Arabidopsis thaliana: one gene and its partners. The protein of the gene in region 3 interacts with the protein of the main gene of each other region in a pairwise test. Each region holds a gene or a part of one and is shown on either strand. Other genes may lie near its edges.

Region 1 (4,753 bases), on a different chromosome or scaffold from region 3:
TTCTTATATTTAGAATTTTTCTCTAATTTGTGTGTTCAACCAATTTTATAGGATTTTGATTGTGTGGAAATATACAAACAACCAGCTTTCCAACATCCATTGTTGAAAGATCACAAGATCCAGGTAACGTAGCATATATCGTTGGGCAAAATATTTGAGTTTCGAAATCTAATCCGACCTAGAAATTATCTAGATTTTTTCATATTAGAATTAGATCTCGCATATTCTATTTATTTTATAAAAGTAGAGTTCAAAGTTTATGTATGATAAGTAACTTTTGTTATAGTCAAGGATGGGTATTCCTAAGAAACTTTTGGATGAATATGTTAATGTTAGTTTATAAATTTATAAAATGTGAATAAAATAGTTGTGGTTAATCAAATATGAAAATAGGACTTCGGGAGACATCAAAACTGACGAATCTTATTCTTCCTTTGTTACTTGTGGTATAATGTAGGAAACATTCAGCCTAGATGGAAAAATTGAAAGAAGCAACAAATATAATACAAAAGAGCATTGTCCAAAAGGAACCGTTGCAATTTTGAGACAAAGAAATGTATCCAAGGGCGTTCATTTGAATACCGCCGAGTATTCTGGTCAACATGTATGTCTTCTCCTAATCTTGGTTTTTGAAAGGAGTTACAAAATTTCATCTAGTTGTTAAGACATTCTAATAATCTATTCGTTTTACGTAAAATTAAAGGAGAACATCAAAACATCCGATTGTTATTCATGCAAAATATATATTATAGATGAAAATTAAACTAACATATTGATGAAATTTGCAGTTTGCAACAATTGAGACCATTTTAGATGGAAGTATATATCGGGGAGCAGAAGCTGATATAAGTATTCATGATTTGAAACTGCAAAATAACCAATACAGTAAAAGTCAAATATGGTTAGAGAATGGACCTCCAGGTCAACTCAATAGTATACAAGCTGGTTTGGCAGTAAGTCAGTTCTATCAAACTTGCTAAAGATTTTGCGTTCCATAATCTGTTTTTTTTTTAACATACATAATCTTTTTTATATTTATTTCTGTTTAGGTACATCCAAGATTGTACGGTGATAGTGTCACACGATTTACAATATATTGGACTGTGAGTAATTTTTAGCTACTCTTATTCTTTTAAGAACATTATTAATCAGCTTAGAGTAAAAAAATAAAATAAGAGATCAAAACGTCTTTCATTATTTTACATGTGTAACAAATATTATTATATGTAGGGAGATGGTTATCAGAAAACTGGGTGCTATAATACACAATGCCCTGGCTTTGTGGTTGTAAGTCGAAATTCAAGAATTGGAAGCGGATTTTGGGGAACATCTGTCTATGGTAAAACAAGTCTTACGTTTAAATTGCAAGTTTTTCAGGTAAATTTCTGTTTATCCTTTTTAAGAAAAAGATTTATATAATTAGTTTAGACTTTAGATGAACTTATCATATTACACCATACTTGTTGGAGTATTTAGTTTTCATTTTTTCTTTTGTTTTATATGTATTAGGATGGCTTCAGCGGAAATTGGGCACTTAAAATGTTTGATGAAGTCATTGGTTATTGGCCTAAAGAGTTATTTTCACATTTGAATAATGGAGCTTCTCTAGTAAGATATGGAGGAAATACTTTTGAATCTCCCGATGGAATCAGTCCTCCAATGGGCAATGGGTTTTTTCCAGTTGCGGACTTTAAAAAGACGGCACATTTTAATAACGTCGTTGTTATAAACTCGGACTATAAAAGAGTTTACATTGAAGGTAGGAAAATACGACTTTATGTCGATTCCTATAATTGTTTTAGGGCGACATATTGGGGTTATACCAAATCTACAGGAGAAGCCTTTTCATTTGGAGGACCAGGTGGAAATTGTGGTTTTTGATGATTTGATAATATATATATATATATATATATATATATCAACCAAATTGTATCAAATTTCAAATAAGAATAAAATCATCTAATCTATTCATATTTTCTTACTGAAAAGTATGTAAATAATAAAACATGATCATCACTAAAACCAAAACTTTACAAGAGAAGGTGGAAACATCATCAACGTTTTGGTCTGAGACTCTGAGTGATACCAATGGTATCATACCATACCAAACGAATTATCATCTCTCATTCAAATGGGCCTCATATTTAGACATGATAAGGCCCATTAATAACAAATTACAAGCCCAATTTGTTTTACTCTCTTTCGTTTTCTTCAATCGTATCCATAAACCCTAGTCTCGTCGTCTTCGTCGATCATCGCCGGGAAACCACACCAGTCTCAATGGCGAAAACTCTATCCCGATCCACCGCCTCATGCGTCGCTAAGCGTTTCTTTTCCACCTCCAATGCCGTCGCCTCTCCTTCTCCGCTTCCTTCTCATCTCATCTCTCGTCGATTCTCACCGACGATCTTCCACGCCGTCGGATACATCCCAGCTTTGACCCGCTTCACAACGATCCGGACCCGGATGGATAGGTCTGGCGGCTCATATTCGCCGCTTAAATCCGGATCAAACTTCAGCGATCGACCACCCACTGAAATGGCACCTCTATTTCCTGGTTGCGATTACGAGCATTGGCTTATCGTCATGGAGAAGCCCGGAGGTGAAAATGCTCAGAAACAGCAAATGATCGATTGCTATGTTCAAACCCTAGCTAAAATTGTTGGCAGGTGAGTGTCTTTGTCATGTTCGTTAGTGTTATTCCTCAGCTACTTCACTATAACAAACTGAATCTGATTGTTGTTTGGTTTAATAGTGAGGAAGAGGCTAGAAAGAAGATCTATAATGTTTCGTGTGAGAGGTATTTTGGGTTTGGCTGTGAGATTGATGAGGAGACATCAAACAAACTCGAAGGTATCTTTTTGTAACACTTGTTGTGTATGATACTGTAGCATAGCACCCGATGATGTGAATGTAATTGATGGAATTGGGTCTTTTGTGAGTTTCAGGACTTCCTGGTGTTCTGTTCGTGCTTCCGGACTCTTATGTTGATCCAGAGTTCAAAGATTACGGAGGTAAGTAGTATCATCAACTTTGTTCTGCATTTTCTTAATGTCCTTTGTCATAATCATAATCATCAAGAACTTGTCTGATCAAAGTCTGGTTTGCATCACTCTTAAGTAAACACTGAAACTTAACTGCATTTTCAAGCAAACAATATTCTGTGATGATGCATTTGTTCGTATGTATGAAAGATTGAACTTGCTAAGGGCTTCTCTGGTTTATGTACATAAAATTTTGTTGATTCTATCAGTTTAGCTTATAAACTCATTGCTGAATGTTTGTTATGCAAATGTAGCTGAACTGTTTGTGAATGGAGAAGTAGTTCCTCGTCCACCAGAGAGACAGAGGAGGATGGTGGAGTTAACGAATCAAAGAGGGTCGGATAAACCAAAGTACCATGACCGAATCAGAAATGTCCGACGGAGGGAGAACATGCGTTGACTCTTATTATTCTCAGACTTTACGCTAGAGCAATCATTTCGATTTGATCTCCGATGCTTTTTTTTGTTGGTTTGTTCTTTTAATTTGCTAGACTCTTAATGAATAATGTATATGATGGTGTTTTGGTGATATCGAATGTATCAATTGTTTCTGCAACTAATTTTCATCTCTCCATTAATCTCAATAATTGTCAAAAGATTCAACTCCTGACCCCAACCTTCAAGTAAAATAGTATTCGACTCAGCCCGTGCCTATGACATAAGAAAATAAACTTTGGCCTACGACCTTTAGCGAAAAAACAAAGACACTAGCGCTCCAGTGTTGTCCAGATATTATGTTGATCCAGAGTACAATGATTATGGAGGTAAGTGGATCAACACGGTTCTGCATTTTCATAAGTCTGTGTATTCATTGATCATTTCTTTGATGCCATGTGTCATAATCCTTGGAGAAAATTTCGGATCGAAGTCTTTTTTTTGGTACCATCTTTTGTAGTTCTGTGAGTTGATCTTTTTAGGTGATATCAATATACAAATTGTTTCTGCATCTATTGTTAAATATTATCCAAAAAATTCTTCACTTATCAATCTTTCTTGTGAAGAAACGAATTAATAATATGTTATTGATCATTATTTTTGTTCTTAGTAAAAGTAGAGAGACATTTGCTTTAAAAACACCCAAAAAATCATATAAATTGAACTGAGTTCGTCTGTAGTATGTGTACAATGTAAGCAAAGATAAAACTAAGTTTGTGATAAACAAAAACAAAGGTAATCATCATCATCCCAAGATTCCCAACTTTTGACCTATTAAAATCCCACAGAGAAAAAACCCCTATAAATCTTTCTTTCTTCTAAAAGCTCCTTTAGTGTTTTACGCATCTATTCTGCTGCGTCTATTCCACTGTAGGCTCTGAAGTTTTAAGCTTCTTTCAAAGGTACAGACTAACCTAAGGAAACCTGAATAAACATAATCCGATTTACTTAATTTAATGAATCTGATGGAGAGAAAAAGAGCACCTAGTAATCATTCCATCTTGGACTTGGCATGGGGAAGAACCCGGATGGAGATAACGGGAACATGAGCCCTGGAGAAGGAGGAGGCTGAGGAGGACCTTGACTTGGACCTGCACCGGGTCCAAGACTTCCTTGTTGAGCAATTTGTGAAAATGAGAAGTTTGGGGTAAGTGGTTGAGGATACTGAACTCCTGGTGACAGCAATGGGTAAGGCGATCTCGGAGAGAACATATTCGGGTAACCGGTAGGAGATGGTTGAAGAAATTGGGATGTAGGTGACTGCAGTGGTCCAA
Region 2 (4,616 bases), on a different chromosome or scaffold from region 3:
TGAGAGAATCTGACTTAAGGATGAAGCTAGTGATACTAGTATCTTTCTTGCTCGTTCTCCCAATGTTTTCTTCAGGTATATAGATCTGATCAACTAACATATGCAAACTTATAGTAGCTTTAACATTTTATATAGGTCAATATAGAACTCCGAATTGAATAAATATGCTTCATATTTTTGTTAGGGATCGTTGAGACTTTGCATCATGACAACATCAACCGCAAGGTATTAACAATCACGGTTCTAAAAGCGTTATATATTTGATTACAAATATGCATCAAAACTAAAAACAAAAAGATATAAAACTTGTTGATTTAAAAAGGTTAAAGAGATGGTCATGAATGGAAGAAGAATCGATCTGGAGATGGACTACGCTGGGCCGCATCTAAGACCTCCCAAGCCATCCGACCCTACAATTCCAGGAACACAAGTACGTGCCCTATAGCAAAAATGAAGTATTACGAAAAGTGTCTTCCTTTTTTAATAGTGTATGAGTTTGGTTTTGAAAGGTTGATGAGGTTGTGACAAAGGAACCAACTGTCTATAACAAAGAAGACTATGGGGACTGGTCTCCAAGACCAATCCCAAAACGACCAATGCCATATGTACCTCCTCCTCCTCCTCCACCGACACGACGACCTCCTTTCACCACAAATCACTAGACCGTTACTTTTACTAAACTCTTGTCATTAGACTTTCGTCTTCATCTAGTAAATCTAAATAAATAAAATGAAATTTGGCCAAGAAAACAACAAAGCTGTGAATGCATTGATTTGGTTTTGGTAATACAAGAACAAAAGCTGTAAAGTACATTGACACTTTTTGTTATAATATATCAAGTGTAGTACTCCAACAAATAGCCAGGACCGGGTTTGTAAGGATCAGCTTCTACATAAGCCTCAGGGCGATCAAAGCCGAGATCGTTCACACGGTTGCTTAGAACATGAAAGATGGCTTTTTTGGAACCTCCATATTCGTCTCTGTTCTTGTCCACGTACTCTGTTGCTTCAGCTGCTACGCTATTGACAAATTCAAACCGATTGTCTTCCCTCAAAAGAAGCTGCTCTATGTCCATTGTCATTACCTTCCCAACTTCTCTTATCTTCCTTACTTGTTCTTCCACAAATGGAACTCTTTGCATTTTGTAACGCAACATATCGTCCTTCTTCGTCTACAGACAAAACAGGAGAACGACATAGAGAGATTAAAAGCGGGACAAATATAAACAAAGATTTTGCATTGTTCTGGCTTTGGTAATTATTGAAATCTCAAAACCTCATGAACCTGATAGGATCAAACAACAGAAACTGATAGTTTGTAGAATATAGTACAAGTAAAAAGATCACACTAATATTTTATGTAATGTGTAACTCCCACCTAAAAATCCCAGTATCTCAGATAAGACAATCTCCAATTTCTTGCATGTGCCATAGAGATAAGACCATGGTTACTTGAATATATATAAGTAAACACTAACTAGAGGTAAAAAGCCATGTTTCTTTAAGTTCATCAACAGTATAAGAACTAAAGCTAGCGTCTGAAATGAGCATAGTTCAACAAAGACACTTTTGAAACAGGTGTGTAAGCTAATTTGGAATCAAGAAGGGTAAACTAGAAATCGCAAAAACTCAGAGAAGACAATCTCCATCTCTCCTTCTATGCATCATATCAATTACTATGACTAAGTAAAGACTAACTAGAGTTAATAGTCATGCCTCATCAGTGAGTTAAAGCTAATCTGTGATCCTACTAAAAATTGCAACTTTTTAGAAATGTCGTCTCCAAGCAAAGAAAAACCCTTATTTTGATTCCTGATTCGACTTATGTCATAAACATGAAACTGGAAAATCACCAAAATATCAAGTTTAGTACTTACCAATGTTCTCCTCCGCCAAACACGGCGTCCATTATCATCTCTCTGAATCCCACAAGAAACCTGAAAAAATCAACCAGATTCACTCAAAACTCTCCCCCAAAAACCCACAAATTCGTATATATATCAACCATTCAAAACCTGAGACTGAAATGTGCATCGCAAATTCCCACTTCTCGTATCAATAATCTGAATATACAATAATTGAAAATGAGAAATCACATTGACATCAAAGGATGATTATGAGAGAAGCAAAGGAGGGATTTTTACAGGTAAAATCGAAGATGGAGAAGAACAGGTGAAGGAAGCCATTGATACACAGTGAATAGATAGAACCGGATCCTATTTTATATGTAAGCTTCTCCGGTTCGGTTTAATGGTTTATCTTTGGTTGTGTTCGTATTTGGACAAATCATTCCTAACCGAACCGGGCATTTTTTTTTCTCGTCATTTTATCTATACAATAATAATTCAACTTGCACAAAAAAAAAATCTAAAACAAATCAAAACTAACAACAAATCTAAAATCATATAATTTTACTTGGTACACAAAAATAATATTTTTCAGAAATCAATCAATCTAATAATAGTTAGTGGGAACCCTCTATTGTGACTTTGTGAGCTATGTATATACATAAGACATTACAAGATGGAACCTCAACATAGTTGATAAGCAAAGAAATTAACTCTATCGATCACCGGATGAGAAAATGGCTTCTAGGAATCATCTCTTAATATGTTGTGTTCTCTTAGCTATGATCATGATCGGGCATGCTCAAACCAACCGGAAACTTCTTGACGATAATGTACCATCATCTTATTTTCCATCGATGGAGTCTCGTCAGGTTTTTCTTCCTTCTTCTCATCGTTCACTTGTTGCTGAGCATTACGACAGATCACCACCTCCACCACCACCCAAAAGATCAGAAGTTGAACCCCAAACTGATGGTGTCTAGACCATTGAGTGATGGTGAGAATCGGCCCTGATGAAAAGACTCGTGAGTTGGTACCATGTTTTGAAAGAGCATACATATGTTTTGATGTTTGGTTTTATGATCCGGTTTATAAGAGCTACCTAATTTTTGAAGGCTTGGTTTGATTTAGTTTTCTTTGCTTTCTAAAGTAAAATCTCCGGAAAAGTTGTCTCTGTTTTTTTCTTCTTTATTTTTATCTGTATACGTGTACTTCATTCTTGGTGACAATAAATTTGACTTGTTTCAAATTAATTAATGTAATATTTGTAAATGGTAAGTTAATACAACAGAAAAGTCGATGATACTATCTTTTTGAATAGGTAGATTTACCGAACGAATACCACATTACCACGGCTTAAAAAAAAAAAAAGAAAAAAGGGAGGATTAGTCTCAAACATTCTTAATCAATTTCAAAAACTGGATAAATAAAAGCAAAAGTTTCAAAAACATAATTATTCTTGCAACAGTAATTGATGCAAAATATATATTAAACTGTCAAATAATATTTCGAGAACGAAATTGTATATATAAACTTGCTGTTAATTTGGTTAAAATCGGCAGTAAAATAATTCACAGCAAGTTTTACTACGCTTGTAAACAAAACTGCATTCACACTCTGACAGTCATAAGGTATACACAAAATCATAGAATCATGGACATATTTTGTAACACATATATTGACAATTTGACATTACGTAAATGCAATTAAAACTGGAATGTAATTTCCGGTTTACCAGTCAACATACAAAACCAGCTTTCGGTTTAATATTCGTCCAAATAAGTGTAGAGCGTATCGTCCTTCTTTGTTTTGCGTCGGCTAAGTAGCGCCTTTAGCAGCCGTTTGCTCTTGCTCGGTTGTTGTTGATGCTCTGGTTCTTTCTGAGCTTCTTTCTCGAACGCAACCCGAACCGAAGCCGATCTTCTTGGTTCTGACGGATACTGAGCCAGAAAATATCAAGAATCAACCGTTAGAGATAGAGCCTAGAAGTGAGTGTTTTTGAAATGTAACCGAAGCTTACCCGTTTAGGAGTTGGAGTTACCGCTCTACTCTTGCTCGGGGTTGTTGGCCGGCTGATTGATGACGGTCGGATAGCAACCGAACCAGATCTTAGCAGCGGAAACCGATGTGGTGATACTGCTCGCTTATCTATTTTACCATGCACACTGTTTAAAGGTTCTGTTTACATATTAAGCCAAAAACGGCAATTTCAAGGTGAAGCTGTCTTTTACCTTGTTCTTTCTTTGGTGCGGTGGCGATAGAGGAGAACGAAAAGGTTGCTGAACGTTGAGGTTTCCGTTGAGAGGGAGACTGAAGTATCGGTTTTCTGCAAAAAGCGATAAAAGTTTAGTACTTCTCGGTCATTTGACAAGGGAACTCACTATGAGTACTGGACTATACCTAACAGGTGGTGGAGGCGTTTCACGAATTGTAGCGCGAACAGCTTTAAGAATTCACAACAAGAAACATATCAAATCAAGAATCAAGGCAATTTCTAAGTAAATGAAATGGCAATTTATACCATTTCTGAATTGGTTCCAGTCATCTTCTCCATCAAAACTACCTTCAACATTCTTAAGCTTTGCGAGGTTGCCACCTCTTTTGATTTCACCAGCTGATAGAGAATTTCGTTTTTGTTAGCTGAGTCCCAAAACCGACAAATAAGAGAACGAAAGTTTGTAGAAACATATAGGGAACTTTGGAGAGTCGAAACTTACAAGGCAAGAAGTACCGCTTGTGGAACTTTGGAGTGTCGATCACAAGTGATTGC
Region 3 (7,390 bases):
TCTCTTGTATTTAATGTCACATCTATTAAATTCATATCAAACGTTTCTATATATGTGTCACGGAGATATCATTGCGGATTGTGTATATACATATTATTCTAGACTATTAGAAAACATTACCTTTTTTCTTTCTGTTATAAATAATGTTTCTTTTGAAATTCTGATTAGATAAGCTGATTGTGAATTTTTTGTTGATAATGTGAAAATACTTAAACAGAAAAAGGAAGGGAAAGCACTTGTAAAATGGACAATGGTAGTGTCATTAAGAGGGACCATGAGAAATCATGAAGTTCAGCTACATTTCCCATGGATTCCTCGGAACCACTTTTTCTAATCTCTCCAAAGATTTAATTAATAAGGTTTAGGAGAGAGATAGAGAGTCATTAGTGTTGAAACTAATCAAAACAAAATCTAAAAATATCTTCATTAAGAAATATGCAATGAATGGATGTATGATGATATATCTGAATATAAACTATAATATCTGAGACAAAGAAAAAAGAATAGTAGTACTAAACAAAGTAGTTGAAATCAGAAAACATAATAACCACAATTCCAAACGCATGAAATGAGAATAGTCCTGCTACTAACTGCTGAGTGGTGTGTCTGTTACATATCAAGATTGGGGACCATATTCTCCTGAGGCGATCATTCATTTGAAACAGTTTTACATTGCTCATTATTTACGAAATCAAATTTTTGTATTTCTAAGAATCCTATGTATTTCAGAAAAATATTCTTATTATGATATCAAGATGTGTTTTATTGATTTTTTTAATATTCAGAAAGTTTCACATCTAAAACAAAACATACAAAAAGGATATAGAAGTTTCACGTCGAAAATCAAATATAATTCTCGGAATCTGTATAACATTGAGTGTCATTAATGTATTAACAATGGTGGAGATCCTTATACTATAAAAGAACTCAATCTCTAACCTTTTTTTTTTTTTTTTTTGTGCAAACTCAATCTCTAACCTAAACCCACAAAAATAAAGGAATCTTCTTCACCAACTTATAATCCAAAATTGTACCACATATACTGTTAAACATCACCACGTATAATTCACAATATCTCAGTTACAGCAGCACTGTTTGGAAAAGCTATTTGTTTTTTGCGATTGTTTCAAAATAAACTATGTAAAGTGATCATATTTAGACAGGGAAGCGAAGATGCATTTGACAAGACTATTGTGAAACTGAATGTACGGAAGCATACAGTATTTGTGCATGCAAGTAGAGAAGAAAGAAGATCACATTTTTGAGATTCTAATCTAACGTACAAATTAGTTGCAGTGCAGTGTAGTTTAGTTCCAGTCCAACACGTACGACGTACTTCTTTTGCTTTACAAATGTTTTTTTTTTTACTTGTAATTTACTCAATTAGAAGAACTTCAAGTCTAACTTAGTTTACTCTTAGTTTTTTTTTTGTAATTTTTCAACAGCTGTTTGATTGTTTCTATTTGGGTAATTAAAATACGTATTTTTAATTTTCAATATACGAGTTTCTTTATCGGCTACAACTACATAATATACGATGTTTTGACCGTATTGTTTTTGGGGTCAAACCATTTTGTTCCTATTTAAAAGAACTATAAAGAGTGACGAACCCTGGAAACAAAATCAAAGTCATAGAAAAATATCAATCCATCGAATATTAAATATACTTCAAGTAGTTAGTTGATAGATGAAGATCGACCGACGAGAGGCTTTATCTTCCATGCTTTTCGTAGGTTTACTCATGAAAGATACGAGATGGTGAGAGGTCTCTCTTCTCATTTATGTCCTCTATACTAACAAAAAAAAACTCAAAAACACTTATCGAATTCAATTAAATTTTTAGCATATCTATTAATAAGTCTCTTTCATTTGTCCCCATATATTTCGGGTAATTAATTTATTATCTATGAATCATCGTTGTCATTGCAACGCATGCCAATTATTTTTTTTCTATCATTCGATTATAAACTCGAACAGTATAGAACTGTCCTCCATTCGATTTCAAGAAACATCAACAGTTCTTCAAATGAAACGTGGCAAAAATATTAGAACAATGCAGAAATGGTCTGTAAGTAGATTTTGTTTGCCTTCATTTCTTCTTCCATTAATAAATTGTTGAGCTGCTCTACGAGTAATTAGTTCCAAACTCTATTTCAACTTTTTATTTTATCCAAAAGATGAGTGAGATTCTATATATTTACCACGTAAGCAACTTTTTTGTTGATGTGAGATTAACATTTCACAAAAAACCATATTTTTATTGATTATTTTCTACTTATATCCTGTATTCCAAAAAGAATACAACAAGTTGCCAAAAAAGAACAACGTTAAACTTTACAACATAAAATTTTGTCTTTTAAGTAAAGATATTTTCTTTAATATAACTAAATCGTTCAAATAATAAATCTTGAAATGTTCTCCAATTCCTTCTGGAATATCAATTCACACAAAAAAGTGAATTGTGTATTTTTTTTTTTTTTAATTACTCGTTTAACCTAAAAAAATATTGATGGCCAATTTCAGAAAATATCCGTATATTTGGAAAATTTACAAAAATAAAAAAAAAGCTTCATTTTTAATTATTTTTTCACAAAATTTTAGCTTATTTTTCATTTAGAGAGAGAGAAAGAGAGTAGTAGGGAAAAAGCAAGAAAAAACGGAAGAGCTGAAAAAGCAGAGAGAGTGATGAAAAGAACAGCTTCGTTGTCACTTGTCATTCTATAAATCGCATCCCCATTGACAACCTTTCACTTCCATCAAAACTCTCTCTCTATATCTCTCTCTCTATATATCTCTCTCTATATCTCTCTCTCTCTTCACTCTCTCTTTCTTTCAAAATGGAAAAACTCATGGTTCCGACATGGAGACCCGACCCGGTTTACCGTCCACCGGAAACACCACTCGAACCGATGGAGTTTTTAGCTCGTTCATGGAGCGTCTCTGCTCTCGAAGTCTCCAAGGCTCTAACACCACCCAACCCTCAGATTCTCCTCTCCAAAACCGAAGAAGAAGAAGAAGAAGAACCCATCTCCTCTGTCGTAGACGGCGACGGCGACACGGAAGACACCGGACTTGTCACCGGAAACCCATTCTCCTTCGCTTGTTCAGAAACTTCTCAAATGGTCATGGATCGTATCTTGTCTCACTCTGTAAGTCTTTTCTTCAGATAAAAACAGAGCATTTCCGGACAAAACAAAGCATTCTTTTTTTTTTTACTTTCGATGTTGACAAATTTTATTTTGTTTCTTTCATCAGAATTTCCCAAATATGGTCAATCAAAGTTTTAATTTTTAGCAAATTATGTTCATGAATCTCTCTTTATTAAGTGTGATTAATGAAGAGAAAATTTTCACGCGCAATAATTATAACTATTAATCAAGAAAAAAAGTTACGATTTTTATCTACACACTCGCTTTCTGGGTCCCTAAAAACATAATAACAAGTTTATGGATTTGTCATCATCTCTTCTTCTTGATTCTACTTTTGTCTCATCTTCTTTAATAATTTTGTTTGCAGCAAGAAGTATCACCAAGAACATCTGGTCGGCTATCTCACAGTAGTGGTCCACTTAATGGTTCTTTGACCGACAGTCCTCCTGTGTCTCCTCCCGAATCCGACGACATTAAGGTTCCAATTTCTTGACCAAAACTGTATTTAGTTTTGATACTAAAGCATGTTCTGGGTTTCTGAGTTTTGGTGTTACTCTCTATGTAAATGTTTCAATTTTTACTGCGTCACTGACAATTTTGGGTACAATGAGAGACTGTGAAAATAAAAAAAGAATCTTCACTAGAAGCTTTCTCTTTATCCAACCATACCCAGAGATCATGTCTTTCTCCCACTACTGTTTCCGATGATTCTTCATCATTTCAATTCAATTTTATAATTATTCCTTAAACCCATTAACGAATTGTTGGTTTTCTTAATTAAATAAGTATTATTTAGTGACACTTTGGTCTAAAGCAATCTCCTTTACTTGATTTGGTTTTGTCTTTTTCTTGTTCATCACTCTTCTTCCAAAAACATTTCCTTTTTTAGATTTTGCTTCACTCTTCTGGGTTCTGGCGAATCTCTGATACTAAAACTCAAATTTTTAATCTTAAAATGCAGCAATTTTGCAGAGCGAACAAAAATTCATTGAACAGTGTAAATTCTCAGTTCCGTTCAACGGCGGCAACTCCGGGACCTATAACCGCTACAGCTACACAGTCCAAGACGGTGGGACGGTGGCTTAAGGACCGGAGAGAGAAAAAGAAAGAGGAGACTCGGGCTCATAACGCTCAGATTCACGCTGCTGTCTCTGTCGCCGGCGTTGCTGCAGCTGTTGCTGCTATTGCAGCAGCCACCGCTGCGTCTTCTAGCTGTGGTAAGGATGAGCAGATGGCTAAAACTGACATGGCCGTTGCTTCTGCTGCGACCCTTGTGGCTGCTCAGTGTGTGGAAGCTGCTGAAGTTATGGGAGCTGAGAGAGAGTATTTGGCTTCTGTTGTTAGCTCCGCCGTCAATGTTCGTTCTGCCGGAGATATTATGACTCTCACCGCCGGAGCAGCTACAGGTTTGTTTAGTACAGAGTTTTGATAAAGTTTGGAACTTTCAAAAGAAAACGCTAAAATTGATTGACTTTAGGTTGAAACATGTTTAATACTTCTTGACCCTGTAATGAGAATTGCTAAAGTTTTGATTTTGTTGAAGATAATGATAGCATTGATTTAGGGATTGGCTCAAAATTGGAACTTTATGAAGGAATCAGAAGTTAATTTTTGGTAATTTGATTTGTATTTTTGGTGTGTAGCTTTAAGAGGAGTGCAAACATTGAAGGCAAGGGCAATGAAGGAAGTGTGGAACATAGCATCAGTGATACCAATGGATAAAGGACTCACTTCTACAGGAGGAAGCAGCAATAATGTTAATGGTAGCAATGGAAGCTCAAGCAGTAGTCACAGTGGTGAACTTGTACAACAGGAGAATTTCTTGGGAACTTGTAGTAGAGAATGGCTCGCTAGAGGTTGTGAACTCCTCAAACGCACTCGCAAAGGTAAGAAAAATTCAAACTTGTGTATTTAAAAGTTTAAATTTTAGTTGTTGAATCTTTTGTCTAATGATGTGTGACTTTTGCAGGTGATCTCCACTGGAAGATAGTATCTGTTTACATCAACAAAATGAATCAGGTAAAGATTCTTTTTCTTATTGTGCCTCGAGTTTCGTTTCACTTTAGGAAATGATCGTTGTTGATCTGATGAAAAAGATTAAAGAGAGCCAAATTATTTGTGAATCAGTGGGAATCTTTAGTTACTTCACATGGATGTTAACTTTGTTATATGAAACACACAAAAAGATGAGAAAAGAGAAATTTCAAACGGCAGGAAAAGAAGAGAAAGTAGAAACAATACTAAAGCTTAAAAATAAAAAGCACTGTTTTGATAATGATGATGATACTGAAATCATGGGATCCACTTTTGTCTTTGCTGCTTAAGCATCTCTTACAGAATCACTAATTTGTTTTGATTTATTGAACTTATAGGTTATGTTGAAGATGAAGAGCAGGCATGTTGGAGGAACCTTCACCAAGAAGAAAAAGAGTAAGTGATTATTTACTCTTTTTACATACTATAAGTATAACACCACTTTAAACCCTGAATAGTTTGGTTGGAGATTTCTCTAATTCCTTCCAAGACATTTCAGATGATTCTTCTAATGGGTTTAAAAACAAAGAATGTTTCTTTAGTTTGATATTGAAAGCTTTACTTTTTGTCACTATCTACTGTCAATGAGTCAATTATATGTGAACCTGGTAAAGAGAATTCAAAACTTTGAGGTGGGTCTGCTTTAGATATGGGGATTTGAGACGAGAAAAGGAAAAAAAATTGAAAAAGCAAAAGTGTATATGTGACTAAAGTAACTATAGGATCAAATCCCTTCAATCTTTTACTTTTTGTCTTGCTTTTGAATGTGAACTTGAAGAAGACTCTTCTATTAATTATTTTACTATCTTTCCAATTTTGTTACAGACATTGTGCTTGATGTGATCAAGAATGTCCCGGCCTGGCCTGGACGACATTTGCTAGAGGGAGGAGATGATCTAAGATACTTCGGTTTGAAGACGGTTATGCGAGGTGATGTTGAATTCGAGGTCAAGAGCCAAAGGGAATATGAAATGTGGACACAAGGTGTCTCAAGGCTTCTTGTTCTTGCTGCTGAGAGGAAGTTTAGGATGTGAATAAACGTTCAATGGCTGCTTGGTTTAAGTGTGAGTTTTTTTTTAACTTATGTGGTCAAATTTCATTAGTAGGGGTTCTTTTAAGGTAATGGTTTTTTGGGTTGGGTATAGGATAAAATGGACCTACCAGTCAAGGTGAGGAAGCATTTGGGTAAACAAAACTTAGTGGGGGTGATCTGTAATATCTATGTTCTTAGTTTTTTTTTGGTTGTTGGTGGTCTTTTTGTATAAAAAAACAAAGTTGAAGTAATAGATATATAGTATGTTTTAATTTTAAAATTGATGGGTCCAATTTCAATATTTTATTGGGAACAACATCAAATATGCTTCTTTTTTGTCCCATTATTGTTGTAATATCTATCCATTGATTGACCAAAGAAGCTGCCTATATTTCTAAACTCACAAGGAGACAAATAAATCATTAAGGATTGTTTGCTTATGTAGAATGTTTTGGACCTTTGGTATTGTTAACAACTTAATCAAGCCATAAACATGTGTTCTTAATATTCGATAAATCTATGTCTGGAATAAGTAGAATACTATAGGAGATTGAGATTCATAACGTTCAGTTGCTTATAATGCCGAGGAGACTGAGGAAGAGATTCATAACGTCGAGGTATAGACGAATCGCTGCAGTGATATATTCGTCGTAGTTGAGTTTCTTGATCAGCTGATTGGTGTCGAAGATGATGTATCCGCAGAACACTATTGAAGCTATTCCGCTGAATATCATCGATGATAGCTTCCCCAGAGGGTGGAATATCTGCATTCATTTCATTGTTTAGCTTTGTGATAATATATCCCAAAACTTTGAATAGATTGAGAGTTACTGAGTTAGTACCTGCAAAAGGGTGAAGACAAGGATAATGAGGAGAGCACCAAAGAGGAATGGTCCAAGGAAGGAGAAATCATGTCCTCTCTTCACTGCCCAGAAGGTGTAGATCGTTAGACCAAAGACCATCACAGCTGTGAGAATTGCAGCCTCCAGAACAATCCTCCCTGTTTTCACAATACTTGGAAATTAGATTCTAACCAAATGGTGTAACTCTAGTTATAGGAAACAGAGTTAATAAGTTGCTTGACAAAAAAGCATGAAAGCATCTCATGCCATGTTCCTCTTTTTCATGATTCACCATGTTAAAGCCAACAAGATACTAAATTTCAACTTTTATG

What was found.
Region 1: the proteins of AT4G14740 (region 3) and MORF6 interact in a two-hybrid assay, tested with the Arabidopsis thaliana proteins (one large-scale study listed by BioGRID).
Region 2: the proteins of AT4G14740 (region 3) and PTAC7 interact in a two-hybrid assay, tested with the Arabidopsis thaliana proteins (one large-scale study listed by BioGRID).

Annotation. Positions count from the first base shown.
Region 1 is NC_003071.7:14,843,790-14,848,542, reverse strand, and holds MORF6 (plastid developmental protein DAG), read left to right. Parts: upstream 1-2,183; 5' UTR 2,184-2,280; coding exon 2,281-2,669; intron 2,670-2,755; coding exon 2,756-2,853; intron 2,854-2,948; coding exon 2,949-3,014; intron 3,015-3,298; coding exon 3,299-3,444; 3' UTR 3,445-3,647; downstream 3,648-4,753. Other genes in the region: AT2G35250 (NEP-interacting protein, putative (DUF239)), read left to right, coding at 52-123, 458-604, 789-953, 1,050-1,103, 1,231-1,377, 1,510-1,881; IKU1 (VQ motif-containing protein), read right to left, coding at 4,464-4,753. UniProt on the Arabidopsis thaliana protein: Involved in organellar RNA editing. Required for the processing of few RNA editing sites in mitochondria.
Region 2 is NC_003076.8:8,275,319-8,279,934, reverse strand, and holds PTAC7 (plastid transcriptionally active7), read right to left. Parts: upstream 2,236-4,616; 5' UTR 2,186-2,235; coding exon 2,144-2,185; intron 2,063-2,143; coding exon 2,015-2,062; intron 1,937-2,014; coding exon 1,853-1,936; intron 1,172-1,852; coding exon 836-1,171; 3' UTR 741-835; downstream 1-740. Other genes in the region: AT5G24316 (proline-rich family protein), read left to right, coding at 1-75, 185-225, 323-430, 510-662; AT5G24313 (uncharacterized protein), read left to right, coding at 2,584-2,829; ABIL3 (ABL interactor-like protein 3), read right to left, coding at 3,610-3,786, 3,867-3,994, 4,078-4,172, 4,247-4,289, 4,368-4,460, 4,564-4,616. UniProt on the Arabidopsis thaliana protein: Essential for chloroplast development, especially for thylakoid formation. Involved in plastid gene expression, probably by maintaining plastid-encoded RNA polymerase (PEP) activity.
Region 3 is NC_003075.7:8,449,394-8,456,783, reverse strand, and holds AT4G14740 (auxin canalization protein (DUF828)), read left to right. Parts: upstream 1-2,624; 5' UTR 2,625-2,837; coding exon 2,838-3,149; intron 3,150-3,516; coding exon 3,517-3,627; exon of another isoform or gene 3,628-4,104; coding exon of another isoform or gene 4,105-4,110; coding exon 4,111-4,555; intron 4,556-4,792; coding exon 4,793-5,035; intron 5,036-5,118; coding exon 5,119-5,168; intron 5,169-5,521; coding exon 5,522-5,579; coding exon of another isoform or gene 5,580-5,587; exon of another isoform or gene 5,588-6,008; coding exon 6,009-6,217; 3' UTR 6,218-6,247; exon of another isoform or gene 6,248-6,328; 3' UTR 6,329-6,626; downstream 6,627-7,390. Other genes in the region: AT4G14730 (Bax inhibitor-1 family protein), read right to left, coding at 6,783-6,980, 7,059-7,216.